3 linked regions of the Cricetulus griseus genome follow. Each later gene encodes a partner of the first gene's protein in a complex. Links are inferred from orthologs where the notes say so. Each region holds a gene or a part of one and is shown in the gene's direction. Other genes may lie near its edges. The genes, in order: Siah1, Cacybp and Axin1.

Region 1 (10,713 bases):
CAAAGTGCTGATTAGGGCTTGCATCCCTATCCTGGGCTAAGACTTCAGACCTCCCAAATTAGAATCTATGTTTTTTAAATAAGATCCCTAGATGGTTAGTAAACACAGTGAGTTTGAGAACTATTGCAGTCTAGGAATGAACTCTTTCTTTAATGAATACTTTTCAGATGCTGGGAAGTTTCATTTTTTAGTTGACTCACTCTTATTTTATATTTTATTTATTAACCATATTGCAGGATCTCTTTTACATAGTACTTATGGATTCTGAATAGGTATTCTTCTGAAGTGGAAGCCAATAGGGAATCTTGGAAAAAGCAGATGCTTCCCGGATTTGATTTGCTTTTCAAGTCACTGCCTAGGTTCCTCCCCCCCCCCCCCCAGGCATCCCTTGTCTTCAGGAACACCTCCTTTGAGAATGATCCGCAGCTTGGAGTGCTCCATTTTTGCTAGTCTGGCTGACCCTGGAGCTCCCAGGAATCCTCTTGTCTCTATTTCCCAGTGCTGGAATAACAAGTTCTCCCCACACTTGGCTTTTTATGTATGTGAGGATTTGAACTAGGTTTTCATGCTTGCAGAAGTGAGCTATCTCCAGCATGTTTTGTTTTAATTCAAATCCTAATAAAAGGGTAAATTCATAATTGGATAGTTATAATTTTATTAACATTTTTGTCACTTAGAATTTGAACTCAAGGTCTTGCATCTGGTAGTTAGGCATGAGGTTTACCATTGGAATGTATAAAGAAATAAAAAGGAAAAAGGAAGGACATGACTGCTTCTAGGTATGGTGGGGGAAAGGTTTATTGTAGATAAAAGGGAGAGCATAGCCAGAGACAGGATTATCTGGGAGAGTCCAGAGTGAACATGCCACTCAGCCAGGCCATGTGAGGAGAGGGGGAAAGGGAGGAGGAGAGCCAGGAGAGTAAAGAGTAGATGGTGTGTGTTGGGGTGGGAGTGGGGGTGTAACCAAAAAGGCTGGATTATATAAGGAAGCGCAGCTCAGCCCCTGAGCTGGAGAAATTTAGGGTAGGGGGTGGTGTGTGCCAGCCATACCCTGTAACAGGTAGGGACTGAGGGATGCAGGGAAAACCTGGCAGCCAGGTCCACTTTAATATGTTAAATAGGTACCTCAGCCATTTGTCCAAGAGTTTGAGACCTAACATCCCAGTGTTTTTGTTGATAATCAGTGATAAGGGGGGGATGAAGTCTTTTCTATGACTGCTTCCTGTTGACATTGGGGACCCAAGACAGCAGGAATGCTGGCCAAGACCTGGAAGAGCAGGGTTTTTCCCATGCTGTCCAGATTCTATGGGACCTTCTGGAGCTAGGGAAGTGCAGGCCACATTGGAGCAGTCTATGAGGCTGGACCAGCTGGGGCTAGCTACTTTGAAGTAATCTAGGCTGCAGAGGCTCAGGCTGGTTGGAAAGTCCATCTGAATGAAGCAGTTGGGGCTGTTGATTTTGGAGCAGTTTGCAGTACTTAGTTGATTGGAAATATGCTGGAACAGATAGAGATTAGGGATAGAAGGTAAAGTTAAAGGATCTTAGGGGACATATTTTTTAATAATTTATTTTTACTTTATGAGCATTGATTGGTGTATGCCTGCATGTATGTGTGGGCTGATGTGTCATATCCTCTGGATCTGGAGTTGTAAACTGCCATGTGGGTGCTGGGAATTGAACTTGTGTCCCCTGGAAGATCAGCTAATGTTCTTAACCACTGAGCCATCTCTCCAGCTCCTAGGGGTAAATTTTTAATCGAGAGTATACATTTGAAACTTTCAGACCCATGGTCTTGGTAGTTGGAGGGCTGGATTCCCAAGACCAAGGGGGTAGGAGGGGGTAGGAGGAGAGAGGGAGGAAGAAAGGAAAGGAAAGGAAAGGAAAAGGAGGGAGGGAGGGAGGGAGGGAGGAAGGAAGGAAGGAAGGAAGGAAGGAAGGAAGGAAGGAAGGAAGGAAGGAAGGAGATCCCAATCTCAGGAATAGGGCAGGTGGGGAAAATTTATGAGTACTTGAGTCTGGCCTGCAAGAGGTGATTCAAGTTGATTCCCTGAAGCCATTACCTAGATGGTTGCCCTAGGCTCCTGTGGGCTCTGTCTTCATTTGAGGCAGTGTTCAAATAGGACAGCATTTAATCTTTAGTTGCCACACAGAGCAGCCTTGGCCAGACCCAGGTCTGAGAGATGTTCCTGTGGAAAGGACTTGGGGGACTTGACCAGGCAGAGTATAGCAGTTAACCCACAAGTGTCCCTGGCAGCATCAAAATAAAGCTTTAAGCCATACATATAGTCCATAGGAAGACTGGGAACTTTTCTTTTATAGGGCACCATTATATCAATTTTTTGCATGACTCGGTTAATCCAGATAGCTAAAGCTTAAGAAAAGCTTAATAAAGTGAGCAGAGACAATGAAGCTAGATGGCTATTACTCTGACCCTGAGTAGACCTTAGGAATTTATAGACCTTATCAAATATACCTTATTTGTCAAACACATGTTGTTATCTTAGTTTTCTAGAAGCCTGGAGTTGAACAGTTAGCAAAGAGACATAAGTAGTTAGCTGTAAATCTCTAAGTCAGCTTTGTTCATCCAAGTAGACCTGTAATAACCTTAAAATTTTATCATCATAATCCATACCAATCCAAAATATTTTGGAGACCCCTGTTGTTGTTTCATTAGTCTAAAAGGGGAAACAGAGGGCTCAGTAGGACTAAAAAGAAGTATAGGTGTTGCCTTAATTGGCTTATTTTATATGGTCATCATAAGATGGTGGTTAAGTCCCTTGGCATATACCTTTTAACCCTAGTAAAGATGGCTGCCAGCCATGGAGCTGTTATTTAAAGGTTTATTTTTTTTGTAGATCACTTTTTATTTTTTATTCAAGAGTTGAATCCAACTGGGCCGTGATGGTGCACACCTTTACTCCCAGTACTCAGGAAGCAGAAGTCAAGGCTACACAGAGAACCCTGTCTTGAAAAAACAAACAAAAAAGAGTTGAATCTAAGTACATATGCAGTATGTTCTAAACAAGAGTTGAATCACATGTATAGTAACTTGTAGCAAATTATTAAGATTGCCTATGTGTAGATTTTAATTATAAGCCTTTTGTTATAAGTTTAAAGCCAAGTTTTGTTACAGATTTATAGATCATTTTTAACCATACCCAATGAACTTACAAATCCTGAGAGAATTTACAGCATAGTCTTAAGAGACTTTGATAGCAGAGCAAGGAGAAATTGTAGAGCTAAAGATTTTTAAGAGTAGGAAGTAGAAGTGTAGAGCAGAGCTAGTTTAGATAAGAGAGATTTGGGGATCATTTGTTTATGCTGTGACAGTTGTTACGATTTGTGAGGATTTGGAAATCAAGTGTGCCAATGTTTGGCCATTGGTACTGAGGCCAAGTTGTTTATAGTCCGGATGTTGAGAAATGAAACTCCACCCTCAGAGGACTTTTCTATAAACTCCCAAAAGTTGCTGAGTGAGAGTGTATAGAGGCCCAGGTGGGCTCAGGCTTAGAGAAGCTTCCGAGTTGCTGGGAGAGGCCTGGGAGGGCTTAAGGAAGAGACAGAGCAGGAAGCTGCAGAGGGTCAAGGAGACTTTAGGAGGGAGCTGAAAGAAAAAACTAGGTACTACAGCAGGACCTGAGAGAGTGGTGGCCTGCAGGATGGACTACAGGGCCTAGGGGGAGGGGAGAGAATGCAACTGAACTGAGGTGGATAAAGAGCCTTTGTGACAAGAATTTCCATCCAGGGTGTCCTCAAGGGGAATGGGAAACTTGTCAGGGAGAAAAGTGTTCCAAATCCCAGAGGAAAGGTGTCCTTCCCATGTGACTGGGGCCTAAATAGGGCGAGAGGAGCTTCCTGTCACCCTGGTGTGGCTTTTGTAGTAATAGTAGACAAAGGAGGCAGCTTGAGGTGACACTTACCCAGTAAAGAGAGATGGGCGAGCAGGGGAAAAGGGAGACGGTAAGTGTCCTTGGTAGAGATCCAGACAGATGTAGCCGGTGGAGCTGCGATGTGAGGCCAGTGTCCAGGTGGCTGGGTTCCTTGGGAGATGGAGAAGGCCCTAGGAGTCAGAGATACATTCATGGCATAGACAAGGACAGGCGTGGTTAGAGCATGTGGGCGTTGGGGGAGAAGTAGTGAGACAGCGGACTCTAGAATTTGGGGTCAAATTTGATAGATGACAGGAGTTATTGGAAACAAGTGATCTCTACAAACCTTAGGAGAGGCAAATCAGCAGCTTGATTCAGAGCAGCCCAGGTACTTGGAAGGGAGCTCATCTATGCCATTCCCGGCTGTGGGTACCGGATGAATGAAAAAAAAATGAAATTAAAAAGGAAGGATATGACTGCTCCTAGGTATGGTGGAGGGGAGGTTTATTATAGATAAAAGGGAGAGCATAGCCAGAGGCAGGGATATCTAGGAGAGTCCAGAGTGAACATGACCCTGAGCCAGGTCATGTTAGGAGAGAGGAAAGGGGGGGAGGAGAGCCAGGAGAGTACAGGATAGACAGTGAGGGTGTGCATGTAACCAAAAAGGCTGGATTATATAGGGAAGGGCAGCTCAGCCCCTGGGCTGGAGAAATGTAGGGTAGGAGGTGGGGTGTGCCAGCCATACCCTGTAACAGGTAGGGACTGAGGGATGCAGGGAAAACCTGGCAGCCAAGTCCAATTTGTATGTTAAATAAGCACCTCAGTTAACTACGTGTCTTCGGGGTTTAGACCTCACATCACTCATCTATAACCCTTAGCATTGTAACTTTATAATAAACATGTAATTTCTAAGAATTTTAGGGAAATTAAGGGGTGAGCAGTCTTGGTATTCTACCTTTTTATTTTCTTTAAATAAAGAGTGCAAGACTTAGAGAGATGGCTCAACAGATAAGAGCACTTGCTACTCTTTTGGATGTTTTTCAGTACCTAAATAATGGCTCATAACTGTCCAAACTCCAGTTCCAGGATATCCTATGCCCTCTACTGGCCTCTGCTGGCATCATGCATGCAGGTGGTGTATATATACACATGCAGGCAAAACACCCATGCACATTAACAAATGTATATGAGCTGGGGACATAGCTCAGTTGGTGGAGTGCTTGCTTAGTTTTTCCAAAGGTGTGGCACCACACAAAACTAGGTGTGGTGGTGAGCAGTCCCAGTACTCACTGGAAGTTGGTGAAAGCTGGATTATCAGAAGTTCAAAGTCATTTTCAGACTCTTAGAAATCAGTGGTAGTCTAGGATGATTGAGTGAGTCCTGCCTCCACAAACAAAAATTCTCCCAAAAGAACAACAACAAAATGTGGCTAAATGCCCTAAAAATGTTGTGACAAAATTAAAGGCATTAATACTATTTATTTCCTTTTAGATAATAGCTATTTAAACTTAATGCCAAAATAGGCTTGATGTGCAATTTAGAATGTGTAGTTTATATTTCTGTTCTTAAAGCTGTTTGTTGTAGTCTAGTATTAAACAGTTAGGTGGAAGTGATTGAATACAATAAAGGTGGGCAAGTGGTTGGAGTTGAAGTTGCAGAAGGTGTGTGAAACCCATTGTATTGGGGCACTCACTGCCAGTTTCTGGTTGTATTTGAAGATTGTCCTAAGTGTGATGTAATACCAGCTTAAGCTTTGAAGATTCAGCTGACACCATCCAGGTCTGAAGTGTATAGGACTTTATGGGCCAAGGGTAGTGCTTGTTTAAAAACAAGGCAAGCTACTCTAGTTTAATGAGGCCAGTTAAGAAAACTTTCCCAGAGTGGGATGAATATATAACCTCAATTTGGAGGTAGAAGTGGAGGTTTACATGCCCTGAGTGTGTTTACATTCTCACTGCACTGGAAGGGGGCATTTGAAATAGATTGGCACACAAGCGGCAGAGTTAGAATTGAGGAAAATAGTAGTTGAGGCCTGGAAATATTGAGTGAGTTGTGGGGGGGAATGTTTTTCTTGAGAATTCACAGGACAAAGCTGACATTAGGAGTGCTTGCCTGGTTGCGCATTTCCCTTCCTCCCTGTGTGTTTCTTACCCTAGAGACTTAGGAAAGCACTGAGATCCTGACCTCCGGAAACATGTTCTACGGGACTTAAGTGCTGCCAAGTGCACAGGCTTCATGTTGCCGTGGCGTCTGCCAGAGCTGTCCAGGTGGTCTGTGGGGCGGGGCTTGGAGCGAGGTCCGCCCCTTCTCGAGGCCCTGCCCCAGGGCCTGCCAGGTGGTGGAGCCTAAGCAGCAGGACGCCAGAGCTGCTGGCCATCTTCTGCTGACCACCCAGTTTAGAGTTCATGGGAGGTGTTGTCTCTCCTGGGGACAGGTCTTAAGACTGAATGGAAGTGAGCAGCCTTCTATGCTTAGGAGCCAAGGGCCTTGCAGGGTCCTCTGGTGCAGGCTGGCCTTGTGGCTTGCAGGAACCTGACGCCTCGATTCTTATGACCTGGAAGCCGCCCGAACCCCTTCTGCATTCCTGGAAGGGAGTCCTGCTCGCATGCTTGCCGACAGTTAGGACCAGGACCAGGAAGAGGAAAGGTACTGACGTAAACACATCTGTTTCCGAGACAGAAACTGGACTGCACGAATCCATAGATTCTGGTTTAGGCTTGGTGAAAGTCGGCATTGAGGGCTCAGTGGAGCTGTGGCAACTCCTGCTTAAATCTAGCTTTTCAGGTGTGTCCAGACTTCTGTGGACTTGTCCTTGGTTTCTACCTTGCAGCTGCTTGTGGATGAGAGGCTTTGTGGCTCAAGATGGAGCCACACTCCATCCTTCTAACTAGGGAATGGTGTAGCAGTTATCTGTGCTGTCATACTTCCAACCACATTTTGTTTATCATGCTGGGTAGAATATCAGTGTGCTTTCTCTAGTGTTTGGAAGGCAATAAAAATACGATGTAACATGAACCCAAACTTACACTGATAAGTGTTAGAGGTGTTTTGCCAGGTCAAAGCACTGGGCTAGTGTTTTTCTTCTGAACTTGGCTATATTGTGTTTAAATATAAACTGAGCTCTTTGATGTGACCGGAACTGTTTGTTTCGAGAAATCACTTTCCAAAATCTGTGTTCTTTTAAGTGAGCCACAGTTAACATGGTGAAGCAGATGGGAAACCCATGGCTTTGGTAATGCCAAGGCCATTGACCTAAAGTGGATAAATCAGCTGCATAAAGAATTTGATCAGGTGGAAAGTAGAATACAGAGGGGCCATTTTATTATGACACCTGGATCACAGGGCTTCAGATGATGAGAGCTAATTCATGTTGTATTCCTCCATGAGTCTGAGCTGTTGTGGTGGAGTTTTGTCATACTGTATGTGTTGGAGATGAAACCAAGGGATATAGGCAAGCTAAACATTTGTTAGTACTGTTTTGCCCTTTGAACTTGCTAGTATTGCTTTAGTAACAAAAGAAAAAAAATTAAACCTCCAGTGCTGCTCTTAGCCCCCTTATTTACAATGTTACTGTCTACTAAAATTCCATTTGTATTGACTTGGTTACATTTGTAACTTCAGTTTTTTTGAAACTTAAAGGTCTTTGCAACAGAGTGATTATAACTGGGAGAATTACTATATTATTTAGTGTGGTCTCAGGGAGTGCACTATTAGGACATTGATCTTTTGTCAACGTCTGAGATAAATTGCACCCTGCCAAATTCCCCAGAGGCAGAGTCCTGGGGAAAGGAGCTTATTGTGCTTGACTGTCACTGGCTGGTCCTTCCTCCAGATGACTCTGAAATCAGTGTGTATAGTTGGTGTTTGCTGCAGCCACACAGGGAACCCAAGGGTGCAGGGGAGTTCTTTGCTTATTGAGTCTGCCCCTCTCCCCATCCTGTGTTTGTGTCTGTGTGATGCTTTTACCCTTACTTCCTCCTATTGTTTCCTGACTTTCCCTTCCCTTTGCATGTTACATGAGATTTGTGCTGCAGAATGGAAGTAGAATAAGGACTTTCTTCTTTTTTTATAAGTAAAGTTTTTTTAGAATACAACCGTGTCCATTTTAAAAAGGTAGAATAAGGACTTCCTTAAATACAATAACTTACTGAACGATGGTTTTCCACTTCTTCCTGTTGCTTCAGCCTGGAGGTGGGTACTGATTGACAGGAGACAAAATGATGTCTCGCTGATTTGAAAGAAGACCCAGTAGGTAGGTAGCTGCAGGTGGATAGTGGGATGCCAACTCTTCCTTTCCCTGGGCCCTCCGAGCCCCATTCCCAGAACACAGCTCTCCAGAAGATGCTGCTCCCTGCTGGAAAGAATCAGTCTGGCTCTGATATCCTTTGGCATATGGACTACATAGGACTCGGGCTGTAGGTCCTGAAGCTGTGAGAGTTAACTCAGACTTGAGAAGTAGACAGAGGTGGGAACTCTGGGGAGAAAAAGTCCAGCCCAAATAGGTCTTATGTTGTATTTAAGGTCTTCTTTAAAAAAAAATATTTTCATTTTATGTGTATGGGTGTTTTGCCTGCATGTGTCTGTGCACCACATGTATGTAGTTCCCTGGAGGCCTCTCTTGAACCTGCATTTGGGTACTAGGATTTGAACCCTGGTCCTCTCAGCAGTGTTCTTAACTGCTGGACCATCTCTCCAGCCTTACATTTTTTTTTTTTTTTTTTTTTTTTATAGGACTTCTCTGTGTAGCCCTGGTTGTCTGGGAACTTGCTTTATAGACCAGACTGACCTCAAACTCAGAAATCTAACTCCTTCTGCCTCCTGAGTGTTGGGCTTAAAGGCATGGCTATATTTACATTCTTTTTGTTTGTTTTTTGAGACAGGGTTTCTCTGTAGCTTTGGAGGCTGTCCTGGAACTTGAGCTGTAGACCAGGCTGGCCTTGAACTCACAGAGATCCACCTGCCTGTGCCTCCTAAGTGCTGGGATTAAAGGCGTGCGCCAACACTGCCTGGTTGCACTTCTTATTTATGTAGCCCACCTGGAGGTTTTCATAACTTTTTTTAAACAGGAAGGTATTTTAAGCATGCTATACAACATTTTGAAATATGGTTTACTCATTATGTAAATAAAATTCACCTTTAGCATGTTAATTTTTATTTTATTTGTATATAGTTTTAAAACCATATTTATTTAACTTTATTCTTCTGCTCATGACAAGTATTTATGACATGTGTACATTATCTATAAATGTGTTATAGTTATAACTTTCTCCTGCCTCCTTTTATTTTCTTGTTTTTCATTACAGAAATGAGCCGTCAGACTGCTACAGCATTACCCACTGGCACCTCAAAGTGTCCGCCGTCCCAGAGGGTACCTGCCCTGACTGGCACAACTGCATCCAACAATGACTTGGCGAGTCTTTTTGAGTGTCCTGTCTGCTTTGACTATGTGTTGCCACCCATTCTTCAGTGTCAGAGTGGCCATCTTGTTTGTAGCAACTGTCGCCCCAAACTCACATGTTGTCCGACCTGCCGGGGCCCATTGGGATCCATTCGCAACTTGGCTATGGAGAAAGTGGCCAATTCAGTACTTTTCCCTTGTAAATATGCCTCTTCTGGATGTGAAATAACTCTGCCGCACACAGAAAAGGCAGAGCACGAGGAGCTCTGTGAGTTCAGGCCTTACTCCTGCCCCTGCCCTGGTGCTTCCTGTAAGTGGCAAGGCTCCTTGGATGCTGTTATGCCCCACCTGATGCATCAGCACAAGTCCATTACAACCCTGCAGGGAGAAGACATAGTTTTCCTTGCTACAGACATTAACCTTCCTGGTGCTGTTGACTGGGTGATGATGCAGTCCTGTTTTGGCTTTCATTTCATGTTAGTCTTGGAGAAACAGGAAAAATACGATGGTCACCAGCAGTTCTTCGCAATTGTACAGCTGATAGGAACACGCAAGCAAGCTGAAAATTTTGCTTATCGACTTGAGCTAAATGGTCATAGGCGGCGATTGACTTGGGAAGCGACTCCTCGTTCTATTCACGAGGGAATTGCAACAGCCATTATGAATAGTGACTGCCTAGTGTTTGACACCAGCATTGCACAGCTTTTTGCAGAAAATGGCAATTTAGGCATCAATGTAACTATTTCCATGTGTTGAAACCGAAATCAAATATTTCTGGCCAGTGTTTAAAATTTGCATTTGACTTCACAGAGAATAAGGCACCCATCTGCTTGCCAACCTAAAACTCCTGGTAGGTAGAAGCTAGACACATGAAGGTAAATAAAAAGAAAGGCTGTTAATACAGGAAACAGTTGCATGTAGTAACACTAATATATTTAAAAATAATTCAACGTAAACCACTGAAAAAAATATATATACCTAAGATGGGCATCTTTTGTATTAAGAAAGGAAACATTGTAAAATATTTCTGAACTTTGTGTTTGTTGTAGATTGATTGTATTGTTGACAACAAATTTTTGGGGGTGTGTGTCTGTGCACACATTCGTGCACATGTGTGGTTGGATTTTCTTTAACTGACAAGCCATCTGTGTGGTCATGGACCACTGCTTTCCCCTTGTGAGTCAATACATAGTGCTGCTGTGTTTTTTTTTTTTTTTTTCTTTTCTTTTGTGTGTGTATTTGCTAATTTTCTAGTTTTTCATTAAATAAATTTGACTTTCTTTTCTGTAATTCAGGTTTTTCTCACTTTTGTACCTTTTAAGTTAGTGTCTTTTTGATATTCATAATTGCTTATGTCAAAAGTTTGTGTTGAGTACATACTTTCTTTTCCTTCAATCAATTTATTAGAAATATTTTTAATTCAGCCCTTTTGTGAAAATAGGAATT
Region 2 (10,263 bases), on another chromosome or scaffold:
GGGGCGGGGGTGGGATGGGGTGGTGTCTTTCTTTTAAAGGGTTTTTCTGCCGCTCCTGGGCTGACCAGGGTACTGCCTGAGTGTACTCTGCCGGGTGGCAGCGGCGGGCCAGCATGACGCCCGAGTCCTCACACCGCCTTCCCACCACTGCGCCCAGGAGCCTGTCAGCGGCACGTGCAACCCTTCCTAACGTCCTACAAGATGGCGCCGCGTCCAAGGCGCTTGACGCATGACGCACCCAGAATTCCAACGCACACCTAAAGACTCTTTAGGAACCTTCCTCTCTGAACAAACCTGTCCCTTTTGGACGTAAGTAGGCAGCTCTGAGAGCGCGCCTTTGTTCCTTTCTGCCCACAGCTCACACTAGCCAGAGACAAGATGGCGGCCGAGCTGGGCCGGCATCCTAGAGGCGGAAGCAGGCCTTCTCTAAACACTTCCCCTGGGTCCACAAACCGCTGTGCGTTAGTTCCCCGGCTAGGTCAGGCCGTAGCTCCGAGCTGCGACTGCGCAGCGAGGCTACGCGGTAGCGGAAACACGTCTAGGCTGCTGGGACGGAAAGGAAGAGACGTCAGGCTTCTCGAGCATTCGCTCGCTCGCGAGAATTGAGCGTTGCTAGGAGACCTGGCTGGAGGGCGGGCCCAGGCTCGGCGGGGCGGGGCGGGGCCTCAAGGCCTGGGCGGGGCCTCAGGGGCTGGCGGCGGAACCTCGCGAAGGTTCCAGAGGCGTCGCGTGCGGAGGGCGGGCGGCGGGATCGCGCCGGGTCGGTGTAGCTCTCCGCGCCTGCTGCTGTGTCTGTCGCTCTCGGGTGGCGTGTTCCGCGTTTCCTGTCCGCACCGGTGCACCGGTGCAGCTCCGGCCTCGGGCCCGACCGCCACACCATGGCTTCCGCTTTGGAGGAGGTAGGGGTCCGCCTCGACCCACCGGCCCACGCCGCCCGGCGGCCGCGCCTCACCCCGGGCTCGCGTCCTCAGCCCTGACCCTGCCGTGGGCCCGCGGCCTCCGCGCCGCCACCTGCCTGGGCCCTGTGCGCCGGGCCGCGGTCGGGAGTTCGGGGGTGTGTCGGGAGCCCACATGCCTGCGCGGGGCCCCGCCGTGTGCCCGAGGGCCTCCCGGGGACCGGGACCTCCGTTAAAGCCCATTGCAAAAGCTGGTAGCTCCAGGTGGAGGGCAATTGGAAGGCATTCCTGTGCCTACACGGCTAGCCAAGATAGTTTCTTGGGCACCGCACTCTTTCCGTGGGGTGGTTCTACGTCCTGTGTGTTATTTCTGAACGCCCAGGGCTGCACTTACGACTCACTTTGGTCCTTTAGCGGCGCCAGCGGCGGACCTGCAGGCCTTGCCCATGCTAGGCAAGCGCTCCACCGTTGCGTTACATCCCCAATCTTTATGTAATAAGTGCATTAAGAAATAATTGGAAATTTAGTTGTAGGTAATGATAGGGGATTGCATGGCGTCTCTTTATAGGTCTGTAAATTATGAACGTGGGTGACTTGACGTTTTTGGAACCTCAAGCTCTAAAACTCGGCCACAAAATAGGAAATGGTAATCGATCGACTTATGGCCTATGTAGACTTTATGTGATTGATATACGCGTGGGCTATCTGTTAAAATTTCCTTTTCGAAAAATTTCCCCTCACTTTAAAAAGCAAGACATCCGCTTTTAAAGGCAGAAAGATTATTAAGTTATGGTAAAGTATTAATCTTGCCACAAGTAAGTAGCCTTGAGCACATGTGCTCACATGGAGAGTCTGGGGCTACTTAACAGTTGTGCACACATGTAGTTCAGTAGTAAACATTCTCCGAAGGAAGGAACTTTAACTTTATAATTGGGGGGTATGCATTTAGGGGCACATTTTTCTTTTGTGAAATTCACCTTCTTCCATCATTGTTATTTAGTTGCAGAATATTTTCATTTCCTCAAAAAGAAATCCATTGAGTATTGGCTCTGATAAGGCAACAGCTGGGCTGGTACCCTCCATGTTTCTATTTCACCCGTGGTATATCAATACACCATTCCTTTTTAATGGCTGAATAAAACTCCATTGTACATACAGAATGCACATTCATCTGTTGGCATATGGTCGTTTCTCCATTTTGATGATTTTGAATCTTTGTAAACAAGTTTTGTTGTTTTGGGGGCATGTTATTAGTCCATGTAGTTGCTAGATAATAAGGCACGTCCTGGGAAACTACCATTGTCACAAGAATTGCATAAAAGATAGTATTTCTTCATATACTATAACATTTTGTTGTTTTCTTGGGTGTTTGTTGTTCGCATGATACCATCTAAGTGAGTGTGTGGTACCACTTTATGGATTTGTTGTGTGTTTCTCTGGATGTGATACATCTGTTTGTGTATGTGTACCTGGTACACAATCCCATGTCTTTGGGGGGGGTGTCGACGACGACGACGACGTGGGTTCTTTCCCTATTTTGAGCAATTTTTGTTTGCAGGGATAGGTTTCACTAAATAGTCCTGGCTTGGAACTTTCTGTAGTAGTCAGACTCATAGAGATCCACCTGCCTCTGCCTCCAGAGTGGTAGGACTACAGGCATATGCTACCAGGCCAGGCCAGACACATTGGTTTTGAGGCCCCTAGTGCACAACGAGGAGATAGATTCAAAGGAACATACATGTTTACATACAGGAAACAAATGCATGCCAAGAAGGCAAGAAAAATTATGAGATAAAATAGATAGAAACTGCTTTATCTGTTCTTGGTCACCTTAAAGTTTGGATGCACTATGTTGGTTTCAGGGCTGCAAATACAAAAGCCAAGCAATGACTCTTCTGTTGACACCTTACTAAAGAGTGCAGAGTACTTTAGAGCTAAAATTGGCCATAAAGAGGGCCTGGGAATTCTGCCATGAGTCAGCTAGAAAAAGGGTTCCTTTTCCAGGCAAAAGCAAAACCTCTAACTTAGATTTGATAGGTTTCCTTTCTCTTTGTTAAGTAAATTCCTATTGGAGGAATAAGTACTTGCTTTACTTTTAATATTTTTATTATATTGATACTAGAATCCACATGAATTTTGAAGCCACTGAAGGATTTGGAATGAAACACCTTGATTCTATGTTCAAAAGATGAGTGTGCAGTTTTGGATTTTAGAATCAGTATTTCTTGATTGTGGACAGGAGCATCCCTGTTGTGTTTTTTATAAACTGTTGTAAGTAAATACAACAAATGAGATCATAAAGGCCATGTAGTAATAGCGATTATAAAACAAAGGCTAACTCCTTTTTACTTCAAATGCTACCTGATAGCTGGCATTTAAAAGATTTTTAAAAATTATTTTATTCCCCCCCTCCAAGCCTCCCATTTGCTCCCCTTGAGTTTCATGGTCTCTCTTTTCATTAGTTGTTACAAATCTGCTCAGGTCTGTCTTCTTCCCTGGGGAAGACTTTCTCATGCTGTTAGCCTTTTTCGTTTGCCTGTAGTTCTTTGGGCAGGGTTGAGATATCACGGGCTTACCTTGTTCACTTTAGCTTGCCTGTTTTCCTTGCTCACAGTTAGGCAGTTGCACTGATGAGATTTTGGGGCAGGTGGTGAGGGGTGGCTTCTGATATTTCTAGGAGACAGTCTCACAGTAATCTCTGATCCTCTTTCTATTCTAGCCCTCACCTCTTCCACATTTAACCCTGAGCCTTACATAATGCCTTAGGTTAGGGAGTTATGTTGTAGATATATCCATTGAGACTGGACTCCTAGTTTTTGATTGTGGTTTTCTGTTATGGACTCTTCAGTTGTAAAAGGGTCATTTAAAGACTTAACATTAAGCCTTTTATTTAGTATGAAGGTGTAAAGTAAGATTGCTGTTTTTGTGATCAGGTTACCTAGTATGAAGGCAAAAAAAATTTTTTTTACACTTTTTTTATTAATTTATTTTAACATTCCAATCCTGGTTCCCCCTCCCTCCTCTCCTCCCGTCCCTCCCCCACCCCCTTCCTCCCATTTGATACACAGAGAGGGGAAGTCATCTTGTTGAGGTGGGCCCAAGGTACCTCTCCACCCCCACATCCCTGTGTCTAGGCTGGGCAAGGTATCTCTCCATATAGAATGGTCTCCACTAAGATAGTTTGTACATTAGTGTTAGATCTTGGACCCACTGCCAGTGGCCTCATATATTGTCCCAGTCACACCATTGTCACCTATATTAAGAGAGTCAGGCTAGTTCGGTCTTAGGTTCTCCATTTGTCAGACCCAAGTCAGTGCTCTCTCACTAGCTTGGGTCAGCTGATTCTGTGGGTTTCCCTATCATGGTCTTGACTCCTTTGTTCATACATCGCTCCTCTCTCACTTTGATTGTACTCCAGGAGCTTGGCCTATTGGTTAGTTTTGGATTTCTTCATCTGTTTCCATCTGTTTTTGAAGAGGGTTTGAGCTTCTCTGGGGTATGTTTTGTAGGCTGGGTGTCTTTTGCTTTATGTTTGGTATCCACTTATGAGTGAGTCTTTCTGGTTACTCACTCAGGATGTTTTTTTCTAGTTCTGTCCATTTGTCTGTGAATTTTAGGATGTCATTGTTTCTAAGTAGAACTCCATTGTGTAAATTACCACATTTTCTTTATCCATTCTTCAGTAGAGGTGCATCTAGGCTGTTTCCAAGATCAGGCTATTACAAATAATGTTGTTATGAACATAGTTGAACAAATGTCCTTGTGGTGCGAATGTGCCTCCTTTGGGTATATGCCCAAAAGTAGTATTGCAGGGTCTTGAGGTAGGTTGATCCCTGAGTTTCTGAGAAATTGCCATACTGATTTCCACAGCTGCTGTATAAGTTTGCACTCCCACCAGCATAAGCTGTCATTGGTGTTTTTGATCTTGGCCATTCAAGGCAGAAAGCATTTACTCACAATTAACATCAGAGCATGATTGGAGAAATATTTTTGTCTATCTGCCTGTATACGTAATAGCACATGTATGTAGGTGCCCGTGGTGGGCATCAGACACCCGGAGGTGGAATTACAAAAATTTGTGAGCTTCTGGTGTGAGTGCTGGGAACTGAACAGCTAGTTTTTGGAAGAACAGCATGGGCTCTTAGCCACTGAGCTATCTCTCCAGACCCTGCCCATTGATTGTCTTTAATGAAGTTCCACAACATCATAAATGTCTGTCTAGAAACTAGAAGACTTACCTGTTGTATTGGCATGACAAGAAAACAGACTTGTAAAGACCAATTTCCAAGAGTCATAAGGGATTAGATATCCAAAGTTTCCTTTCTTGGTCTCAGATTCTAACCAAAAGATCAACCCAACTGCTGAACAAGACTTTTTCTTAGGAGCAGAATATTTTTACATTTATTTACTACGACATATGTGGAGATAAGGTCTTGATGGTATTGATTCTCCTTCCACCTGGATCCTGGGAATTGAACTCTGCATCAGGCTTGGCAGGGAGCACCTTCACCCACTGAGCCATCTTGCTATTTTATTTTTTATCTTTAATTTAAAAAATTCAAATTCTGAGATAGGAAAATTGATCACTGAAAGTGCAGCCTTTGTTACCTCAGTAAAGTTGCCTTCGCCCTTCCCAGTCAGATGGATTCTCATCTCTTTGACTATAATTAAAGTTTTCTAATATTTGATGTCTAGCTAGGTGTTACAAGGACATCTATAAAAAATTTTCCCCCTACTTTTCTAAAACACAGACAGGTAACAGCCTACCAAACTGGAAAATAAAGACAATTATTGATTTAAGATTGTTTTCCTTTAATAAGAAGGAAATGTGGGTTGTTTACAATTCAGGGAACAAGAAGAAATAATTATGTTTGAAACCTAAAAATTAAAATGAACTTAACTTTTCATTTTATTTCAGTAAGTTGAATTGGATGGTAGGCCTTATTTATCCTAACCTACTTCTATCTTAACACAGTTGCAGAAGGACCTAGAAGAGGTCAAAGTGTTGCTGGAAAAGTCCACTAGGAAAAGAGTTCGTGATACTCTTACAAGTGAAAAATCCAAGATTGAGATAGAAATAAAGAACAAGATGCAGCAGAAATCACAGAAGAAATCAGAACTTGACAATGAAAAGCCAGCTGCTGTGGTTGCTCCTCTTACGACAGGATACACTGTGAAAATCAGTAATTATGGTATGCCCCGTTCCACTATATCTAGTATTCTGCCAAGCAGAAAGAACTACTTCATAATGTATTCATAGATTTTTGTGTGAAGTTTGTGCTCTTTATTTTTAATGTTGACATTTGGCGTGGGTTAGATTACCAAAGTGGCATTAGATAGTGTACTTACTGGGAGGCCAAATTAACAGATTTACGGTGAAAAATTAGGATCTTTTATCTATTTATACTTGTTTGAGTTTTGCTTGTTTTGTGTTTGTGAGATAGTTGCTTGTAGTCCATGCTGGCCTTGAACTGTGGAGATCCTTCTGCCTTCCCTCCTGAGTGCTAGGGTCACAGATGTGAGCCACCAGGCTCATTCTGTTTTATTTGGAGGCCAGGCATCGTGGTATGTTGTCTAGACTGTTTCAAGAGATCCTCCCATTTGTGCCTCCCAAGTAGCTATGTCTTGAAAGGGCTGTGGTTACATTTTTTTTTTTTTTTTAGACTGCTTTGAGAAGTAGAAATAGTTACTGAATTAAACAGTATTGATGTTAAACTGTTGAATTGATGATGACTTTGAACTCCTGATTCTCCTGTTTCCATCTCACAAGTACTGGGGTTATAAATGTGTACCCCCCATGGCAAGATCTATCAAGCTTTAGATGGAGGGCAAATTTTTTTCTTTTTTCCTTTTTTAAGATTTGTTTATTATGTATACAATGTCCTGCCTGCCTGTATGCATGCAGGCCAGAAAAGGGTGCCATATCTAATTACAGATGGTTGTGAGCCACCATGTGGTTGCTGAGAATTGAACTCAGAACCTCTAGAAAAGCAGCCACTGCTCTTAACCTCTGAGCGATCTCTCCAGCCCCGAAGGGCAAAATTTTTTTAAAAAAACAAGAAGCCAGTCTTCTCGTATTTGGGCATAGTGACACAGAATTTAATCATAGTTATGGTAGGAAGGCTATGGTAGGAAGATTGCAAGTTTGATGCCAACTTTGGCAGTTTAGATCTTTCTCAAAATAAAAATGAAAAATTTTAGCTGGAGAGAAACTGGTAGAGGTCTTGCTGGTATTCATAAGAAAGATGAAATGCATTTAATGACCCTAGCTTTGCATTTAGAAACTGAATCTTACTGTACATTCTCCCACTTGTTGGATGCTTATTCTCAGGAATAGTACTGTTTTCAGAAGTTCGGTTTTGAGACATAGCTTCTCCATATTGAGAATTTTTAATGATTCCTTTTTATTTTTTATGTGCATTAGCGTTTTGCTTGCATGTATGTCTGTGTGAGGGTGTCAGATCCCCTGGAACTGGAGTTATAGTTGCCATCTCTCTGTCCCATATCTTGAGAATTTTTAATTTATTTGTGTGTGTGTGTCTGTTTCTGGAGTAACAGTAAAACTGTTACCGAGTTTTATTTTCTGAATTTTATTTACGGGTATGGGTGTTTGTTTGCATGTATGTCTGTGCGTCACCTGCATGCCTCAGAGTCTAAAAGAGGGTTTCTGATACCCTAGGACTAGACTTGCAGATGCTATGAACTGCCATGTCGGTGCTGGGCCTTGAACTCTGGTTCTTTGGGGAGAACAGCCAGTGCTTTTAACTGCTGAGTTTTATATTAAGCCATGTTCTATGGATAGTTTCAGATGTGTCTGTTCATCTTTTTTGTTTTGCTAGGATGGGATCAATCAGATAAGTTTGTGAAAATCTACATTACCTTAACTGGAGTTCATCAGGTTCCCACTGAAAATGTGCAGGTACACTTCACTGAGAGGTGCGTTCTTGTTACTGGAAGTACAGCTATCATTGCCTTATTTTTATCATAGGAATCTTGTCTTCTGTATGGCTTCCAAAATTCTGCTGAACAACCAAGTCTACATACTAACCCAGTTGTTCTCAATATGGGTCGAAAACCCTTGGGAAGGTCAAGTGACCCTTTCACAGGGGTTGTATATCAGATATCCCACATAGCATATATTTTCATTGTAATTCTTTTTTTGGGGGGGGTTCGAGACAGGGTTGCTCTGTAGCTTTGAAGGCTGTCCTGGAATTCACTCTGTAGACCAGGCTGGCCTCGAACTCACAGAGATCCTCCTGCCTCTGCCTCCGAGTGCTACGATTAAAGGTGTGCACCACCAATGCCCAGCTTTTCATTGCGATTCTTAACAGTAGCACAAGTACAGTAATGAAGTAGCAATGAAAATACTTTTATGGTTGGGGGTCACCACAACATGAGGAATTGTATTAAGGGAGAAGGTTGAGAACTACTGCCCTAAGTCAAAGCTGTTGACTTGTCTCAAGAACCATAGAGTGACTGTCATAGAACCAGAAAGATAATGCATTCCCTGTTGTGTTTGTAGGTCATTTGATCTTTTGGTAAAAAATCTCAATGGCAAGAATTACTCCATGATTGTGAACAATCTTTTGAAACCCATCTCTGTGGAAAGCAGTTCAAAAAAAGTGAGTATTGTGAGAGAGAGAGAGAGTGTGTGTGTGCGCGCGCGCGTGTGTGTGTGTGTGTGTGTGTGTGTGTGTGTGTGTGTGTGTGTGTGTGTGTGTTGTGCGCGCACACGCGTGAAAATATTGTAAAACTTTATTAAATTGAATCTGGCTGATTTAGGGCAGAGATGAACTATAAGTTTTCAGCTGTATCTAGCTCCAGTACAGTACAGTCCACAGGCTGATCTGTAAGTAGTTCATTACTGGAATAACCATTCTTACGTTCTTTTGGTGTCTGCTTCTCCTACGGTGGCAAAATAGATCATTTAGCCCATGAAATGAAAAATAAATAATTTACTGTTTGGCCCTTTGAAGGAAGTTTGCCAATTCATTGTAGAATATATTAAAAGTAAGGAGAAATGTTTTCAGTGAGTAAGAGTTTTAATGCCAGCTTTATCCCTTAGTAGTTGTGACCCCTGGTGGTTCTTTGTACAGTGGTAATTTCATAAAGTAGGAATGATATACTGGTAAATAAATAGGAAGCACTAACATAAATAGTATACTATTAGCTGTGTTATATGTAAATTTCTGATGCATATAAGGATCTCTTAAGTACTTAATTGCTGAAGTTGTAAAAAATAAGGAAGTTTTCATTAAAAAATCAGTTGCTTATGCTTTTTACAAACTTACACAACCCTTTTTTCAGTTTAAAAAGTGATGTTTAATATATCAAATGTATAGACATGTAATTCTTCCATGTTATGTATTTGCTTAAAAGTAGTAATAAATGCCATGTGTTAAGTATCCAGTTCTCCCTGCAGTAGCCTATTTGTTATGTCTCATAGTCAGAGGAATAATCAAAGCATCTAGGAGTTACACATTGTTGAGTTAAAAAGTTGTTTACCTTCCTTGCTCTCCTTTCAGACCCCTCTAGTTTTCCTTAAATCACTGAGATTTAGTCCTTTCAATACACTATAACTGTTTCACCTAGGAGCTATTCATTTTTGTTTTGTTTTTGTTTGTTTTGGTTTTCGAGACAGGGTTTCTCTGTAGCTTTGGCGCCTGTCCTGGAATTCACTCAGTAGACCAGGCTGGCCTCAGAATCAGAGATTCACCTGTCTTTGCCTCCCAAGTGTTGGGATTAAAGGTGTGCACCACCACCACCCGACAAGATAATTCTTTTTGCTATGCTAGCTGTCTGTGGTGTTCTCCTTTCAGGTCTTAGGTTTCACTTGGTTCACATTTTGTCCCAGTGAAGTCCTTCTAAAGTTTTTTCCACACTTCCCATTAATATTCTCTTTTAAGTCTTTGTGTATGTACATACACCATGATGCATATGTGGAGATCAGAAGACAGTCTCATGTCAGTCCTCACCTTCTACCCTGTTAGGGACAGAGTCTTATTGGTTCACCACTATATGTACCAGGCTACCTGGCCTACAAGCTTCTTGGATTTCCTGTCTCCCATCTTGCCATAGGAGTGCTGGGACTACAGTTGTGTATGACCATGCCTGGCTTTTTTTTTTTTTACTTGGGTTGTAGATACCTGATCAGGTCCTTGTGTTTGCATTGAAATGCTGTCCTATTTAAGTTGTTGTGATAAAATACCAAGGCCAAAAGTAACATGTCCAGATCATAGTCAGTCATGAAGGGAACTCAAGGCAGGAACAAAGCAGAGGCCATGAAGGAAAGACCATGAAGTAAGAATACCGGCTTGTTCTTTGGGGCTTGCTCAGCTTTATTCTTAGGCAACCCAAGACTACCTGC
Region 3 (11,038 bases), on another chromosome or scaffold:
TCCTGCTGCCTAGTTTTGTCCATGCAGGGTTGTGCATGGAACACTGAGGGGTCCTCACTTTGTCAAGGACATTCTACTCAGACACAGCAGGTACTCAAGTCTCCAGAATGGGCTGGTGTCATTCTCTTATGTTCCTGAAGTTCCCTAGCTGGGGGAGGTGTTGGGCTTGGTAGCAGGCTGCCTTCCCCTACTGGGTCCTAGGGCTGAGATATCAAAAGATAACTTAGATTTTTAACCTCCATGCCTACATTCTGACCCTGATCTACTTGCCTGTTACCTCGGTGTCTACATTCCCCTTTCTCCCAGTTGCTCCCAGACAAGTCCTGAGGGCTAGAGCCCTTCAGAACAGCAGTGTGGATGATTCCTCTCACGACAGTAGGGAGTCAGATCCCAGTAAGAAGGTGTGGATAGTATTCTGGAAGGGTTTACTCCTTGGGGTCCACTTACATGGTGAGCTGGCCCAGCACCATACCCATGCCTACTTTCCTGTGTACTGGCTCTTGACTCCTGGAGGCTACCAGGGTCTTCTGGATGGAGGAGGACATGGCTGTGAGTACCTCTGGAGTCTAACCCAGGGGATAAGCATGGTACCACCTGACTGGGCCTGGAACATGTAATAACACAGAGTATAATAACATTTACCACAGTATCCATCTCTGAAGAGACCATCCATGCTGGAAGGCAGAGTGATTCTTTCTCTACTCCTTTGGGGATGGGTGCTCCTTACCTGGGAGGGGAAGGCAGATACTGAGCTGAAACAGCATTCTGAAGCAGGAGCCATCAGAACCCTCCATTGCAATTGTGGCTGGCATATAACCCATTATTTAGAAGCGTCAACAGTGGTTAACACTGAAGCCATACCTAACCATATCATTTAGGACAGTTGTGCTCTTGTTGGGCAAAATACAAACAACAAAAAAGTAAGGCAACATGCCAGCTCAGAATATACATCACCAGGAATGATGCAAGAGGAAGAACATGGGGCCAGCAAAGTGTGGCTCAGCAGGTAAAGGAGCTTGCTGCTGAGACTGATGGCCTGAGTTCAATTCCCAGGACCCACATGTTGAAGACGAGGACCAAGTTCCAGAAATTGTACTTTGACTTCTACATATGGGCCCGGACCATCTCCCCCCCACCCCCTTGGATTTTTGAGACAGGGTTTCTCTGTAGCTTTGAACCCTATCCTAGCACTTGCTCTGTAGACCAGGCTGGCCTTGAACTCACAGAGATCCACCTGCCTCTGCCTCCCAAGTGCTGGGATTAAAGGCATGTACTACCAATGCTCCGTGGGCCCTGACTATCTTATGCCCATACACATTATAAACAAACAAACAAATAAATAAATATGTCAAGGATCATGCCAGGGCTAAGGTGGCTTCTGATACAAAGTTAGGGCACCCTGAGGCACTAGACTGGAGTGAGCACAGGAACACACAGCTAACGCTGCCCATGAGCAGTTGGGTCCTCCAGAGGCTCACTTGACTTCATGTTGTTCATGTGACTTATTGATGTCAACTGGAAGGTGGCAGCCACTGCAGAGTTGTTGAGGCTTCCAAGTAATTATAATGGTAATGTTATTATACCACGTTCATGAAGAATAAAGAATAAAGTAAAACATACTGAGCATACTGGCACCTTCACTCCTGTATTTCTAACACTTGGAAAGCTTGGGCAGGAAGATCCCAAGTTTAAGGCTAGCCTGAGCTATACAGTGAGTCTCTGTTTTGGAGTGGGTGTGAGAGGAACCCTTTGATAGTTCTGTATGAGCCCTCTTTGACAGGTTCTTATTCTTCTTGCCTTAGTGGATACATGCTTTGTGACACAAAAATTAGCATCTTGTGTTTGTGGCATTGTGGCTTTTCTCCTCACTGTTGTGTCTCAAACTCCTTGTCCTCCATTAGGACAGTGAGTCCAGTCTTCCCTGGACACCGCACCTCCACTCCCAGTCCCTCAACCCCAATTGTAGAAATGGTGGAAAAAGAAGATGTGTGGGATGAGGCAGAGGCTGGGATTGGGTTTATGGCAGAAAAGCAGCTGGCCAACGAGAAGAGAACTGGGACATCCAAGTCCTCTGAGCCAGCATTCTGAGCCACTTTGGGTATAGATGGCTGCCTTATCCCAAAACTGTAAATGAGCCATTTAAGACTACAAATCTTCACTCTCTGCTGGGAACTCAGATGCCACCAACCATCATTTCTGTAGTTGACCTTCTGCTGTGGGTTTTCTTGCCATGTATCACTGGGCCAGAACCTCTGCAACACACATGGCAGGTGGTGCTAGATGACTTTATCAGTTTTCAAGAAGGGTCGTCCTCAGTCATAGGGACAAATAAAGGCTTCAACAAACGTATTTTAAAGTATTTCTATGTCTACATTGAAGAAAATAATTTCTGCTCATGAGTTTGTTTTAAACCTTCTTTCATTCCTGGGACCAAAGGCCTGAAAAATGCCATGGAAGTTGTTAAAGCTGTTAGTGGCAATTCTGGGTGGGGCAAAGGGCATTGCATTTGTATTTTAAGGCCCCTGTGTACCTGTCTCTCAGAAGCAAGGTTTCCAAGTGCTGTCCTCTTTCTCCTCCTCACTGTAGGAATTTCCTCAAGGTCTCCATAATTTAGCCCTTGTTGGAGTTCCCTCCTCTGGTTTATCCTCCCCAATTTCTACCCCTTATTTGGAATTCTTCCCCCATGGACACCCCACAGCCCACCTTAGCAGGCTGTTGCTTTCCTCCAGGCTTCCTGATTCCCTTCCTGTCCCTGCAGGGCAGGGGCCAAGAGGAGCTGGAGGCCCGAGGGTCCTATTCTGGTCCCAGGGCTTGGGGATACCCACCACCGTGGGCTAGCAGGAGGATGGACGTGGACTTGATCCCAAGAGCCTGGCCTGGCCGCAGCAGCAGCTCTACAGAATCAAGGCAAGCGCTGGGGCCCCGGTTTGGGAGTGGGGAGGCACTCCGATGTCAAGGCTATCTATGCTCAATCAGTGGCCATAATTGTTTCTTCTAATGATATGAGGCTGAATGGTCTGGGACAGGGGCTTCGAGGGCGTCTTCAGTGCCCAGGGACCCTAGGCCCTGGGACTGTTTTAGTTGGGCATGTGTGCACATGAAACCTGCTGCTGGGATTTGAATGGGGCTATGTTGGCTTAGCAGTACAGCATTGTCTATAGCCCAGCCCCTGCCCCGAGGTTCAGTAATGAGTCTAGGAGAGGAATTTGGCAGGCTAGTCACCCTAATTACTAGCTATTGTTGAAGTGGTCCCTTCTCTATACATAGCAACCCTGAGCACCAGCACTATGCTATGTCCTCCCAGAGGCAGGTGGCAGGTGTAGGATCACTTCAGGCAGCTGGGGGAAAGATGGTCTGTGGGTTCAGAAGTCCTAAGCAAATACACTGCTTTTGCCTGGGAGCCATGAAGGATAAAGGGCCAGGCAGCGAGGGTGAACAATGTCCAGGAGAAAGCATGGTAGTAGCATTAGGAACAGCATCATACATATTGAAGAATGTAGATGGCAACTGAAGATACAGCCATGATAGGGTGCTATGGGGTGACAACAGAAGGAGAGGTTCTGATGGATGTGGGTACCAGGAGTCCTTGGGCCAGGGTGTATGCTGAGCCTAAGTTGCAACCTCTTGTCGGCAAAGTGTACTGGCTACCTGAGAGGTGTCAGGGGCTGTGCTGCGGAGTCCTGATCAGCATGGTAGATGATATTCACAAGAGCAGTAATTCCTTGTGTTCACATCCTTCTCCTTGGGCAATGGCTGACAGAAGGTTGAGGCCTGATCAATGCCTTTCAATTGTGATGGTTCTGACAGGGTATTACCCCAGAGCAGGTGTAGGGGCTGCTGCCAAATGGAGATCTATGTGCCTGGTGCTGTTTGTGTCCTGAAGCCTGTGGTGAGGCAACATGGAGTTGGCTTGTTGAGCTTGCAGACTCAGGTCTGTAACCTCAGCAAGAGAAGCAAGCCTTTGGAGACAGTAGGTCTCGTTCGTTCGTGTGTGTGTGTGTGTGTGTGTGTGTGTGTGTGTGTTTGGAGACAGTAGGTCTCGTTCGTGTGTGTGTGTGTGTGTGTGTGTGTGTGTGTGTGTGTGTGTGTGTGGCGTCTGGATACCCAGAAGCACTCTCAGGATAGTGCCTACCACCAGGTGTGTCAGTCCAGACTTGGGCGCTCTGTCCTTGGTGCACTGGCTCAGGGGCTTGGTGGTGGCAGTAGCTGTTGAACGCGCCCAGGGCTAAGTTTCCCATGCCACCTTTCGGGACCTACTGAAGTCGCCGCTCCATTGGGCGTCCTCCCCGACTAAGTCCCAGGAGCGCTACTAACCCACGCCACGCCTCCACCTCGGCAAGACTTTGCCTGGCTCCGGTTTCCGACTCTGACCACGGCCGCAGCCCCGCCTCCTGCTCAAAATCCTGCCATTACTCTTCTTGTCCTCTGCCTCCCACCCCGTCCCATGTTAGAAGCCCCGCCCCACACCGCGACCCTGCCTCCACAAGAGGCCCCGCCCACAAGCCTCCCCGCCCCACACCGCGGCCCCGCCCCCGCACTTCCGGGCGGCGCCGGCGGGGGCGCTCGGGCCTGGGCTTCAGCGCTCTGGGCTTAGGCTCCCGGCTCAGGGAAGCGCTTGCGGCCGTTGCGGCCGCCGCCGCTGCCGCCGCAGGAGCCCGCTGGGGTCGGGCTGGAGCCTCCGTCCAGAGGCTGGTGAGAGTGAGCAGCGGGTCGGCGGCGGCCCGCGACTCCTCCGGGCCACGGGTCGCCTAGCCGCCGCCGTAGCCGCGATGGGGGTCCCCAGGGCCGCGCCCCCGCCGTGGCCCGCCCGCCGAGCCGCCGCTGAGCGCATGGGCCTCGCCGGGCCGGGAGTCAGGCCCCGGGCCGCGCCTCCACAGCCGCCGCGCGCTGGTGAGTAGTGGGAGCCGGCGGGCGCGCTCCTGTGGCGCGGAGGCCTGATGCCCGGGACTGCGGGAGTAGGCCGCGCTAGGCCGGCGGACCCGGACCCGGAAGAGAGGGGCGCGCGGGTTGCGGGCGGGAGGCGTGTCGGAGCGCGGCCCGCGATGTGCGCGGTTGTGCACTGCGCGGGGAGACCAGAGCTCCTAGGGGAAACTGAGCAGGAGAGGTGCGGGCTCCGCAGTACGTGTAGAGGCATGGGGGCTGCGTGGTATGCTAGGTATATGGAGTGAAGGACTTTAGAGGCCAGGCAAGGGGTGATAGTAGCGCATGGGGAAGGTAAAGGCCTATGTGAAAGGACAAGGGAGTAAGGAAGACCAAGGATTTCTAGGAATGATCTTCGGTTGGATGTATGTTTGCTGAGTGTGGTGTGCTTGCGGTTGTTCACGGTCTGCGACACACTCAGGATGTGGGTGCTGAGGAGGTGTTGGTGCCAGACTGTGTGTGTCCTCTGAGCTGTGTGTGTGTGTGTGTGTGTGTGTGTGTGTGTGTGTCCTTCCTTTGCCTCATCCCCCAACCCCTGTGAAAAAGTTAAGGAAAGTAGGGATGAGTGAGAGCAAGAAGGGCACTCTGGCGATGCTGTGGTTCGTTCGGCTTGCCAAAACCACCACCGAGTTGACCAGGTGTTCATTTCATGCCTTACTTACCCCCCCCCGAAAGAAAAACAACCAAAATCCCCCAAAACCAAAACCCAGAGCTGCACACTTTTAGTTAGTCATGAAGACAATAAGAGGGAAAAAAGAATCCACCAGCCTCAGATTTTTCTCAACTCATCTCCAGGATAACTTAAGAAGGGTTCTCATTACGTGTGTACTCCTCCCTTTTACTCTCAGACTGATGGAGAACATCAGGGCAGTACTAGCTGTTTTCAGTTTTAGAACTTAGCTTCAAGATGAGAAAGTGTACAAAGCATAGGGATTTTGTTTGATTTTTTTCAGCAGGTGTTGACTTGTCCTATATCTTTCCGAGAAACAAAGTAGAGTTATATTGGCTGTTAAGACTTTATGTGATGGGGGACTGGAATAGATAGGAAATTATAGCCCTGACCTTTCAAGATTTTAATCAAGAGATAGTTGGTAAAATGCTAGTCATGTTATTACTTCTACATTCAATCGAACTCATAAGTTTGGAAGTTATGCTTGAGTATAATATATGCACACATATCCAGGGCTGTGTGTTTTGACAGTGTCAAAGGGGATTTTAAATATGATATCATACTTGTATATTACCTTTATGGAGTCACTTTATAGGTGGTAGTTACAGATTTGAGGCCAGATTTGGTGCTATGGGCATTGGACTCTTATTGAATTTTCATAACTGCTTTATGTGTGGTATTTCTGTATGTGCCTTAAGTGCTAGGTGTCCTCTGTGGGAGTCCAGGGATTATTGGAAATTGCGATGTTTCAGCGTTAGTAATTTGTGGGAATGTTCATGTACTTCTAGGAATAGGTGGCCAGGGGTGCAGGCCCTTTTTCCTGTGGTGATATCCTAGATAAGAGCATGGTAGACATGATGGGCTGGTGTGGTGCTTCAAACATCTAAGGTGCTTACTGCATGGAAACAGAGCCCCCAGAAAGTGACTGAGGTTAAAGAGAGGTGTGGGGAGGTCTATGAGCAGTTGAGACCTCAGTCATAGGGGCTGTGTGACCTTAAGAAACAGGCTGGTCCTGCTGAGGCTGAGATTATAACCTACCTAAGAAGTCATTAGCTGCAGAAATATCATAATTGTGACCCACCTTTTATTTGTACATGCCTCTTCCTTCTAGCCATTAGTAATCTAGCCATCAGCATTATTAGCAGGTAAAGTGTATATTGTGTGAGATGAGCACAGGATGGATTTCATGGAAGCCAGGGCTCAGCACTGTGGAGTGGTGACGAGGGAGAGCCACTCCCTTATTTTTTGTTATAGATGTACATTGTGCTGTTTTTTTTGTTTTTGTTTTTGTTTTTTGTTTTTGTTTTTCAGGAGGGTTTCTCTGTATTGGTTTGGAGGCTGTCCTGGAACTCACTTTGTAGACAAGGCTGGCCTCGAACTCACAGAGATCCACCTGCCTCTGCCTCAGAGTGCTGGGATTAAAGGTGTGCGCCACCAAAGCCCGGGCTGTGCTGTTTTGTTTTGTGACAGGGTCTCTTGTAGCCCAGACTGATCTCCAACTCTTATGTAGCCAAGAATAACCTTGAATTCCTGATCTCCCGCCTTTGCCTCTGTTCAAAGGTGTACACTACCACTCAGTTTCATGCATTATCTGGGACCTGGTGATGGAACTCTGGCCTTAAGCTTGCTAAGGCAACATTCTACCATCTGAGCTGCATCCCTAGCCCTTGACCTTGAACTCTTGATCAAGGTCTTGACTCTTCACCTTGCCAAGTCACAGGATTACAGATGTGTGCCAGTACACTGGCTTTATTTATATTGAGACAGGTTCTCATTTTGCAGCCCAGGCGAGTGTTGACTCAGGATGATCCTTCTGCTTCAGCCTTTTGAATGCTGGGATTACAGGCATGAACCGCCATGCTTGGCTTTTGTATTAAGGATCTGTTTTGTACCTTCTGGCTTGTTTAGTGTTCCAGACATCCAATCCTGCCATAAGCCTCTTTCCAGCTCACTTTTAGTGGGTCCATTTGGGACAAGGCATGCTGTGTTATCTCCCCCTTTGAATAGGTTGAGAGGCATTGCTGGAGCTCAGGGGCTCTCTAGGCTCTCATGGGATGTAGTAGAAAGGACCAAAGATCATAGTAGAGGTTCCTATCCAAATATGAACAGGTTTGCTTCCTTTTGAACACTGTACACAGCAGCAAAAACTATTTCCCTAATCTCTAAGAGTGTAGGTGGTATGGTTTTCATCTGGTGGAGCTAAACCATATTTCCTGTATGCTTCTTTAGCTAAAAAGCTAAAGTATTTGTAATTCATTTTTCCCTATACCTTTTTTGCCTAAGTTTCTAGTTACCATTTGCTATCAGAAGGGACTCTTCTTCTAAGAGAAATTGGCAGCCAAGTAAGTATAGCTTTCTGCATCTCTGAGGTTGTTTATGTTGATGCACAGATGCCTCTACATATGGACTGTGTCCTTCCATCACTTTTCATCATGTGGAAGGTGGCACATGAACAGTTGATCTCTTAGCTGTTGAGAGCTGGAAGCACATCTTGCTATGTGGTTGCTTATATTATGAGGCATATCAAGTATGAAAAGTGATAGAGCAGACAGGTTAGTACAGAGACTGTTAAACTTGGAATGTGCCTATCCACCTTAGGATCTGTAGTGTGCCTCTTTGTTTCTGAGTGTCACTTGGGCAAGTGATATGGTTGTCTTTATGTGTGAGGGACCATCTAGGTCACTGATGCTAGCAAATGGCTACAGAGGCACCTTCCCTTCTTTAGCTTTCCTGTCCACCAGACAGTCATTTCTTTAGTGTCAGGATGGGTGATCTTCAGGCCTCATCACTGAAAACATCCCCTGAAAGAGAGATGCCCTCCAAGATCTAGTCTTTCACTTAGTAGGAGAGACATACATTCTTTTTTTTTTTTTTTTTTTTTTTTTTTTTTTTTTTGAGACAGGGTTTCTCTGTGGCTTTGGAGGCTGTCCTGGAACTGGCTCTTTTAGACCAGGCTGGTCTGAGAGACATTCTTGTAAAAGTTTCCAGAAATTGTCTTAATGATAGAACAAAACTTCTGGCCCAGATATGTCTCTGCTGGAAGTCTGCAATGAGTCTCTGCTCCAAGTGGGAGTGGGGGGGCATCACTGCACATCTCAAGAGAACCTCTGGTGTTTCCATGGACCACCTTTCCTAATCCTTGTCCTCTTAATGGTTTCAACAGGACAGATTGATTCCCTTGGGAGCTGTAAGTACTGAGGTATTAGGGTGCAGCGCTCATTGTTCACTGACGCAGAGTCCCAAAATGAATGTCCAGGAGCAGGGTTTCCCCTTGGACCTCGGAACAAGTTTCACCGAAGATGCCCCCCGGCCCCCAGTGCCTGGAGAAGAGGGAGAACTGGTATCTACTGATTCAAGGCCTGTTAACCACAGTTTCTGCTCTGGGAAAGGTGCCAGCACTAAAAGTGAGACCTCAACAGCTACCCCAAGACGTTCAGATCTGGATCTGGGATATGAGCCTGAGGGCAGTGCCTCCCCCACCCCACCATACTTGAGGTGGGCTGAGTCACTGCATTCCTTATTGGATGACCAAGATGGGATCAGCCTGTTCAGGACTTTCCTGAAGCAGGAGGGCTGTGCTGACCTCCTGGACTTCTGGTTTGCCTGCAGTGGCTTCAGGAAGCTTGAGCCTTGTGACTCAAATGAGGAGAAGAGGCTGAAGCTGGCAAGAGCCATCTATCGAAAGTATATCCTGGATAGCAATGGCATTGTGTCCAGACAAACCAAGCCAGCCACTAAGAGCTTCATAAAGGACTGTGTCATGAAGCAGCAGATCGATCCTGCCATGTTTGACCAGGCACAGACAGAAATCCAGTCCACCATGGAGGAGAATACCTACCCTTCTTTCCTTAAGTCTGACATTTATTTGGAATACACAAGGACAGGCTCAGAGAGTCCGAAGGTTTGCAGTGACCAGAGCTCAGGGTCTGGGACAGGGAAAGGCATGTCTGGATACCTGCCTACTTTGAATGAAGATGAAGAATGGAAATGTGACCAAGATGCAGATGAAGATGATGGCCGAGACTCTGTCCCCCCCAGCAGGCTCACCCAGAAGCTGCTATTGGAGACTGCTGCCCCGAGGGCCCCCTCAAGTAGACGGTACAGCGAAGGCAGAGAGCTCAGGTGAGTTCGGCACAAGGTGTCCATTTTCTATACACACCTTGGAGAACTGGCAAAGGAGCAAGGGAAAGATGGTAACAGGTGGCCTTGTGTTCAATCCCAGCTGAAATCTCTACTGCTGCTCTTGTTGAATTACGTGTGGTTCTATTTCCTACTTAGATGTCTTCATGCTTGTCATTATACCTTTTTATATTTGCAGAGTTGAGAATGCATCGAACAAGACTTAGATGTAATCCCACCTACTTGGGAAACTGAGGACGGAGGATCAAAAATTGTTTGTCAGTCTGGGCAACTTGTAGAGATTCAAAATGAAAAGTCGTGGAGGCTTATCAGAGTTCCTGCATAGCATGCTGGAAACCCTCCTTTAGTTCCCTCTTTAGTAACACATGTACTACTAAAGATAGGTCTTTGTGAATTATTAGAAACATGGAAATTCTTAGAAGTCATAATGTTTAAGCTTTACGTTTGAGCACAAAATTCATGTCATCTTTCATAAAAGAGGGACCTGATTGGAGACAGACACCCTAACCCTTAATAATGGGAGGGGAATGCATTCAAATGCATAGAAAATCCTAATTTATTTATTTTTAACTTTAGACTTATTTATTTTATGTGTATGGCCGTTTTATAGCCTTGTATGTATACCACATGTGTTTCTGGTACCCACAGAATTTCTGTCAGAAGAGGGTTTCAGATCTCTTGAGACTGGCTGGAGTTAACAAACACTTGCAAGCCACCATGTGGTGCTGGGATTCAAACCCTGGCCCTCTAGAAGAGCAACAAGTGCTCTTAACTGCCAAGCCATCTCTCCAAAACCCACCTCCCACACCTTACTATTTTAATCAATCTTTTGGATTTTTCCTGAAGGATGAGACAGTAGTGGGGCAGTTTCTGTGTCATTAGTTGTTGGGAGGTTCAGAGATTCAGAAACTACTGATGTCTGTGCTTGGAATTCCAGAATTGGACATTTTCCCTCCATGGTGTGGTCAGTAAGGGTGTAGTCCAAGGGTGCAACTGGAGGACAACAGTGCTCTCAAGTGACTGTAGCTTTGAAAGTTGTTTCTTCACTTTTCTGTTTTAATGTATATATATTTTTACATTTATTCCGCTGTGTGAGTGTGTGTGCGTGCGCGCCTGCACCTCAAGTATGGGGGGTGGGGGAGGCACTGCCCTCAGGCTCATGTGGCATGTGTGTGCATATGTGGTAAGAGAACTACTTTCAGGAATCACTTCTCTTCTTGTGAGTTCTAGGGGTTGAACTCAGTCATTAGGATTGGTGACAGCCTCCTTTACCTGATAACCTGTCTTGTCAGCCCAAGCTTTATTGTT

The links.
Region 2: the proteins of Siah1 (region 1) and Cacybp are in contact, whole or in part, in a crystal structure (PDB 2A25), measured with the Homo sapiens proteins. The link is inferred for Cricetulus griseus from reciprocal best matches to the Homo sapiens genes SIAH1 and CACYBP. Residues at the interface, in NP_003022.3 of Homo sapiens: Leu158, Gln159, Asp162, Ile163, Val164, Phe165, Leu166, Ala167, Thr168, Val176, Asp177, Trp178, Val179, Met180, Asn276; in NP_055227.1 of Homo sapiens: Lys59, Pro60, Ala61, Ala62, Val63, Val64, Ala65, Pro66, Ile67.
Region 3: the proteins of Siah1 (region 1) and Axin1 are in contact, whole or in part, in a crystal structure (PDB 5WZZ), measured with the Homo sapiens proteins. The link is inferred for Cricetulus griseus from reciprocal best matches to the Homo sapiens genes SIAH1 and AXIN1. Residues at the interface, in NP_003022.3 of Homo sapiens: Cys130, Pro131, Ser154, Thr156, Leu158, Asp162, Ile163, Val164, Phe165, Leu166, Ala167, Thr168, Asp169, Val176, Asp177, Trp178, Val179, Met180, Asn272; in NP_003493.1 of Homo sapiens: Pro378, Lys379, Glu380, Val381, Arg382, Val383, Glu384, Pro385, Gln386, Lys387.

The regions. Positions count from the first base shown.
Region 1 is NC_048596.1:162,341,187-162,351,899, reverse strand, and holds the start of Siah1 (E3 ubiquitin-protein ligase SIAH1), read left to right. Parts: upstream 1-5,108; 5' UTR 5,109-6,316; coding exon 6,317-6,515; intron 6,516-9,172; coding exon 9,173-10,023; 3' UTR 10,024-10,713. UniProt on the Homo sapiens protein: E3 ubiquitin-protein ligase that mediates ubiquitination and subsequent proteasomal degradation of target proteins.
Region 2 is NC_048598.1:31,828,800-31,839,062, forward strand, and holds the start of Cacybp (calcyclin-binding protein), read left to right. Parts: upstream 1-715; 5' UTR 716-878; coding exon 879-899; intron 900-5,871; coding exon 5,872-6,088; intron 6,089-7,735; coding exon 7,736-7,832; intron 7,833-8,418; coding exon 8,419-8,518; intron 8,519-10,263. UniProt on the Homo sapiens protein: May be involved in calcium-dependent ubiquitination and subsequent proteasomal degradation of target proteins. Probably serves as a molecular bridge in ubiquitin E3 complexes. Participates in the ubiquitin-mediated degradation of beta-catenin (CTNNB1).
Region 3 is NC_048600.1:45,765,341-45,776,378, forward strand, and holds the start of Axin1 (axin-1), read left to right. Parts: upstream 1-4,725; 5' UTR 4,726-4,890; intron 4,891-8,753; 5' UTR 8,754-8,834; coding exon 8,835-9,712; intron 9,713-11,038. UniProt on the Homo sapiens protein: Component of the beta-catenin destruction complex required for regulating CTNNB1 levels through phosphorylation and ubiquitination, and modulating Wnt-signaling.